2 linked regions of the Yarrowia lipolytica genome follow. The protein of the gene in region 1 purifies or fractionates together with the protein of each later gene. This does not show direct contact. Links are inferred from orthologs where the notes say so. Each region holds a gene or a part of one and is shown in the gene's direction. Other genes may lie near its edges.

Evidence for each region.
Region 2: the proteins of YALI1_B02881g (region 1) and YALI1_D15333g purify together in Saccharomyces cerevisiae (affinity purification with mass spectrometry; 3 studies listed by BioGRID, with this or other methods). This does not show direct contact. The link is inferred for Yarrowia lipolytica from reciprocal best matches to the Saccharomyces cerevisiae genes MRPL7 and MRP7.

Annotation. Positions count from the first base shown.
Region 1 is NC_090771.1:286,310-289,625, forward strand, and holds YALI1_B02881g (mitochondrial 54S ribosomal protein uL5m), read left to right. Parts: upstream 1-1,858; coding exon 1,859-2,752; downstream 2,753-3,316. Other genes in the region: YALI1_B02874g (uncharacterized protein), read right to left, coding at 1-1,104; YALI1_B02910g (uncharacterized protein), read right to left, coding at 3,027-3,316.
Region 2 is NC_090773.1:1,531,507-1,535,100, forward strand, and holds YALI1_D15333g (mitochondrial 54S ribosomal protein bL27m), read left to right. Parts: upstream 1-1,830; coding exon 1,831-2,955; downstream 2,956-3,594. Other genes in the region: YALI1_D15345g (uncharacterized protein), read right to left, coding at 2,966-3,060, 3,105-3,216; YALI1_D15362g (uncharacterized protein), read right to left, coding at 3,304-3,594. UniProt on the Saccharomyces cerevisiae protein: Component of the mitochondrial ribosome (mitoribosome), a dedicated translation machinery responsible for the synthesis of mitochondrial genome-encoded proteins, including at least some of the essential transmembrane subunits of the mitochondrial respiratory chain.

The DNA of each region.
Region 1 (3,316 bases):
GCATTTATTGCACAATTTCTTGACTTCGGCATTGTTGGCCACCGGTTCCTTGATGTCCTTCTTGATTTGTTCAATTTTGGCCTTCCACTGGAGGAATTCCTTATCGACCGCTCTCCAGTTTGTAAACTGGCCCAGTTTGTCCTTTCTGGCTTGTTCTTCCGCTTCCAGACGTTCCTTTTCTTCCTTCTCTGCTTTTTCCTTGGCCAAACGTTCGGCTTCGATTCTCTTTTTCTCGGCCGCCTCCTTTTCGGCCTTTTCTTTCGCAAGTCGTTCCTGTTCGAGTCTCTCAGCTTCCTCCTTCTCTTTCGCAAGTCGTTCTTTTTCCTTCCTCTCAGCCTCCACTCTCTCACGCTCAATCCTCTCACGCTCCTTCCTCTCGGCCTCCAGCCTTTGCCGCTCTTCTTCCCGTCTCTCAGCCTCCCATTGATCAACCAACCCGCCCACAATCACGCTGTTTCTCTTTTCCCGCTTCTTGGCCAGCTCATCAGATTGCTTGAGCCGATCGTCTCCCATCCGAGACATAAACACAGACTCCCGTCGAGCCACGTCATTGTGTCGTTTGAGCTCCTCAGACGCCCACACGTCCTCCACATGTTGGAGTTCCTTCTCGACCTGAGCTAAAGGAGCTCCCCAATCAATGGCAGCCGCAGGGTCGACCGGGGAACCCAGAGACACACTGTTAACACTGGAACCCCGTCTATGACCCCGCTTGAAATTTCCAACGGGACTCAGATGACATTGATCAAGGATAAGTGACACCCGGTTCAATGTACCCTCCCACTCTGCACAAGACAGATCGTGGATAGAGCGATATGAGTCTTCTTTGACGTCCTGAGTCTCGTCTCTGTGCTCCTGCTTCAAAGGAGATGACACTGCCGGTTTCGTCGGCCGAGTCGGACTGTTCGAGGCACTGTACTCCGTTGCAAATCTCGACTGAGAAGGAGTCTTCCGAGGAGGCTTACTGGGTGTGCCTTCTTCCTCCAGAGACATCTCGTACTGACTGATTTCCTGCGACAGCTCCTCATCGTCCCATAGCGGGTCGTATCCGTCTTCGAAATTCGGAATCCGCGTCAACACCGCCGGTCTCAATGGGCTGAATTTCATGGTCCTGGATGTGTCTTGATGGATTCAGTCGGCTATACTTTTTTGATACATGCAACTTAGAATATGCAGACCGAGCTGTATGGAGGGTGAAGCAATGTGTCTTGAAACGATACTAGAAACAGTGCGATTGAAATGAGAGTAACATCAACTGGATCATAGACGTCACGTGATATTTTACATAATCTATGACTGTAAGATGACTAACTAACGACCTCTTTGATTACTAATTAACCGCCCACCCACATCCCACTTCACAGTCTTCCTTATCAAGCCCAAAACACAACTCCAATACTGCATTGTAATCACCGGACAAGAATGTGCACGCCAAAAAGTCATGTAGGCGTATATTTGGTACTTACTAGTGGACATCATTACTGCGCCAAAACAGGAGATAAAGAAGGGATATTACAAAGAATTTCACCATATACAGACTGCTATTCGACTGTTTATGTGTTTTCCTATTTTTCCCCGAGTTCTGGAGAGATTTTCAAGGCAGACCCAAATATTCACGCCAAATTGCTAATTCTGTGTATATTCTAGACCGGGTAGTTTTGTTCGGGAAATTTTCTATATTAGAAGTCAATGATGTTACCAATACAAAGCCCATGTCGGTTGATTACTACTAACTAGTACCCACGCCTTTTTTTACGGATAATCACTTGCGTTTTTCATCCCTGCTTACTAACTCCCAAAGTCAATAATTTTCACTCACCTTCTTGTGCTGCGTTACACATCACGACCCTCACAACTCACAATGTCCGTGGTCTTCACCCGCTCCTTCCACGCCTCTGCGGCCGTGTCTCGAGGCGCCAAGATCTCGATCAAGCCGCCGGTTCACCATCTTTACAGATACAAAAAGAACATTCTCAAGCCGGCTTTCACCAAGACTCTTTTGACCCACCCTGGATCGATTGAGTCCAACAAGTATGTGCCCAAGAACACCCGTGTTGACCGGGTTGTCGACCACTACAACAACACGGTCGCGTCAGACATGCTGCTGATGGGCTATGTCCACGAACAGTCCGTGCGAAAGGGAAATAAGCACCGACCATGGGACTTCACTTCGCCCTACCATCTTGGACGACCTGCTCAGCCCCCTCGAGGTCCCAACAAGACCCCCACCAAGGACGTGCACCCTCGAACCTGGAAGAACATCCCTGCCATCACCAAGATCACCATCAACTGCACAGACCCCGGCACTGTTCTTGACCACGAGAAGGTGATCAACCAGAAACTCCTGCTGCAGCAGATCACCGGCTGTGCTGCTAAGGAAGTCCGGTCCCGGTCTAATATCATGACCTGGAAGCTCCGAAAGGGCTACCCCATGGGCGCCAAAGTGGAGATTACCGGCGAGAAGATTTCCGACTTTATGACCTCGTTGACAGAGCTGGTTCTGCCTCGAGCCATTGGATTCAACGGAATTCGAAATTCGTCTGGAGATAGAAACGGAAACATCGCCTTTGGTCTGATCCCTGAGGACGTCAAGAACTTCCCCGAGGTCGAGGCCAACCAGGACGCCTACCTGCAGATGTACGGAATGCACATCACCATCCACACCACCGCCCAGGCTGATTCCGAGGCCCGAGCGTTGCTGTCGGCTTTCAACTTTCCTTTCATTGGAAAGGAGAAGCATCAGGGACGATCTTAAGCGCTAATGAATGGCCTTTGGTCGCGAGTGGACTCCATCCTATCGACGACCAGGTAAATACCGGACACCCAAAAGAGTACAGATTTGTATATAGTGAGCCATGAGGCTAATAAGATGATGAATTTGAAAACAGACAGAAATCTTGCGAGTACTGTACATACTCGTAGTGACAAAGGTCTGTTGTCATAAACATTGTAGCAAACCAGATCAATTATACATACTGTACAGTAGCTACTATACCATCAAATTACTCTACCATCAAATCACTGTACCATCAAATAACCACCAACGACAGGTTGCTGACATTTTCGTCACTAACACTGGCTTCTCTGATCTTTTCGACTTCAAGCTTCTTCGCAACTCCAGTATCTTCATCAAAGCTCTCAGAAAGACCCTCAATAACGACTCCCTTGCCAGTTTTGTCGCCATTATCTTCATTATCATTCACCAGCAGAATTCCGTTTCGCAGACAATCTCGCTTCTCGTCTCTCTTATAAAAGTACAAAATGACTACCGCCATAATCGCGCAACAACAGGCACAAGCTGCGCAAGTTCCGTATCCCT
Region 2 (3,594 bases), on another chromosome or scaffold:
ACTGCAAATCAATACTTTATATCTGCAGACCTGAAGGATGAAGTCAAACGTATGTATCAAAACTCCAACTGGCGGAAAATGTAGTTAGACTGCCTGACAAGGTCCTGGAACTGCTCTTCATCAAACGATGGAGAATAGTGTTTGTTGGTGAAGAGCTCGGGACTAGGTGCAGGAATGACAACACATTCCTTGTACGACTCTCCACATCGATATGCCGTGTCTTCGTTGGTGTTGGGAGCCCTGGTTTGCTCTGTCAGAGCCATAAGGGGGTCGTCGACAATATGAAAGGAGCCCTTGGATATATAACAAACGGCTGAGCGAATTTGTCCCTCAGAATGGAAACTAGCGGTTTGTCACCCTTGCCAAAGCTTTCCATTCAACTGTTCTTGAGCAACGTGGTATTAGATAAAACACGATAAAAGAAACAAGTCTAATGCTTGGTTTTGACAATGATCTGGAAGAGTACCGACACTCCTACTTGTGTTGTACAGTATATCAAGTTATTGAATCTTCTCAATAGCCAGACGCCCTCTTACTCGCCATCTTTCTCATCACTCCCGTACCGAGACTCATGTTCCAATAATTACTTGGATGGACAGTTCCTTGTCATCGAAAGCATCGAAAGCTGCTTGAGGCGATGAGCTTTTTGTTTGCCTGATCTCGGTCTGAAAAAGATCGCAGTGTTGTATTGAACCGAGATATTCTATCTGGTATGCTCATATTCGGTATCCATCTTCGTACTTGTACATTTGATATTCCTGGATAGAAAAGATAAACTATTATGTAAATATTTAACTGGGACACTGTTCAGAATCGCCACAACTAACTGCTGCTATCGCGGCCATAGTACAAGCAACCAATAACTGCACATACTGTAGGAGTACATACATACCAGTGTAGTGGATATATCATGACCAAATGTCGATAACCCCCAGAAAAAACTACCACTGTGTGTCTAATCGTATACGTACGTACCCTTGCCGTTGCTCATCTAAATCTGCGATACCCCCCATGAGACGTCTTCGGATCTCATTCTGGTCGTTATCTTGTCCTTACACTGTAATTAGTGCGTTCGACAGAAAGCGTGAACGGCCCGAGCAATACGCTTGTGCGGTTTATTTTCTCGTGTGTGTGGAATATTATCTCGTGTGACAGAGAAGATACCATTGGTTTTACTATGTCGTTCAATCAAATGGTTCTGTACATCACGAGTAAGTCAAGGCTATTAATTTGTAGGAGGAGACTTCTGAGATAGAACTACAAGTATGTATCTTGTATTACCGCCGATGTTGTTATAACCAGATATATTAATGGCAATGGGTAAGGATACACCAGTGCATTGTTCAGGGCAGTTGTCCACACTGGTGCATTCGCTGGAGCCATCGTTGTGTGAGTGTCTCGAAATCCTCAGCCACTCTCTTCAACAGCATCTCTTCAACTAACCCTAACTACTTTATCAACTAACCATAACTACTTTCTCAACTAACCCCAACTACATGCTTAACTAACGAGTTATGCGTGCCGATCTAGTATACGCACTCCAAGTAGAATTCACGACGCCAAACATTCCAATTGGGTCTCAACTAAATCACCCAAATATCGGTACCCCTTCCCTAAGCTCTACAATCATGTTTGATGGCCCGTCATCTCGAAAGCCCTTGCTGCTCCTCTAAGTTTGTCAATCTACGCCCCTTGCACCGTCTACCCAGTGTCATCCGAAAATAAACTTTTCCACTGCACGTGACGTGAAAATTAGCATTGAACCATTGTAGAGAGTCCCAACAGTGCACGCAGAAATCGCTGAAAACCCACACACTCTTCAGAACCACAATGCTGCGACTTTCAGGAGTTAAGTCCGCGGTCCGTGCCCGGGCTGCCGCCGGCGCTGCCTTCTCTGTGTCCCTTTCGGGCCCCCAGGCCGTGTCTCTTTTGGCCTTGCCTCTCGTGCGACATGCCACCAAGCGAGCTGGAGGAGGTAAGACCAACCTCAAGGACTCTATTGGTCGACGACTGGGTGTCAAGGCCACCGAGGGAACCTATGTCCAGCCCTCGGACATCATCTACCGACAGCGAGGAACCAAGTTTTACCCTGGCGAGAACACATGGATCGGTCGAGATCACACCATCTACGCCAAGGAGCCTGGATACGTGCGATTCTACTATGATCCGTTCCACCCCACCCGTCGTTTCGTCGGCGTCGGTCTGACCCCTGAAGCCCGACTTCCCACCGACCACATGGCTCCCCGAGCTCGACGGTTTGGCCGAAATGTGATTTCCGACCCCAAGAGAGCCGAGGCCGAGCTCGCATGGAGACCCAACAAGGAGCAGCAGCTGCTGGAGGAGATTTCCGAGCGTCGGGCCGTCAAGCAGGCTGAGGAGCAGGCCCTCACCGACAAGCTGGCTGCCAAGCTCAAGGAGCTGGGCTTCGATAACAGTGAGCTGGCTGCTCGAGCCCAAAAGATGGCCCACTACCGAACTCTGGGATGGACCAACGCTGAGGCTGCTCGGTTTGCCGACGCCTTTCTCAACACTTCTTCTGACGTCAAGGACTTTGATGCCAAGTTTGAGGTCACCAAGTTTGGAACCGTGGTGCCCAAGAGCAGCCCCGAGACCGTGGAGAAGGAGCTCAACGAGACCCGAGACAAGCTGACCAAGGTGCGACAGCCCAACGCGTTCATCTCGCTCTCTCAGATCGCCAAAATCGACAAGATCCTCGACGCCACTGTCTACCTGAGCCAGAGCCAGAAGGAGCAGCTGGCCGACGAGTTCAAGGTCACCGCATCGCTTCTGGAGGCCGTGCAGCCCCACGAGGAGGTGGTCAAGGCCGCCAAGAAGGGCAAAGGCAAGCTGGTCAAGGTCTACAACGTCCAGCGAAAGGGTATTGACTATGTTCTTGCCCCCAAGGACGCCCACTTTTCCGAGGACATTGCCTTCCAGAAGGAGTTTGTTCACTAATTGTATATAGCTAGTAGTAGCAGAAGTTGCAGTGCGTTTGCATGATGAAAATGAAGTTGTTTTGAAAAATTATGTGGGTAACGTACAAGTAGCTGACTTTTGACCCTATCTTACGAGTGAGTGCATTGTATATGTTGCGCAACGGTTACATCTCTGATCAAAAGAAGAACCTGGGTTTAGGCAGTCATATCTTGTTATTGCCAGGTCACGAACATGCCGGTAGCTAACATACAGTGCCCTATTTACCGTTCCTACACTCATAATCACATACAAGAAGTACGTGGTGTAGTTAGACAGTGCGCAATGCTATTGGTATGCTCCTGTTTCTATGTCACTATCCCTCGTCGCTTACGGCAACGACTCCTCGTTTTTAGGGTCGAGCTTCTGGGCCTGTGATTGGGCCTCCAGATCTGCTACAAACTTCTGGGCCTCCTCGTTGCCCTCCATGACATATCGTAGACAAACCACTCCTCGTTCTTTCAAAAACGGATTGTTGGCGTCAATGTTGCAGCAGTTGAGAATTTCAGGGAGACCTCCTGCCTTCCAGATGAGACTCTGCACCATTGCCAGCTGCTGTTTCGAAGTAGCAGATGCAATTTGAAGAATGGAAGACAGAAGCTCAATAGTGGCACTCTTGAC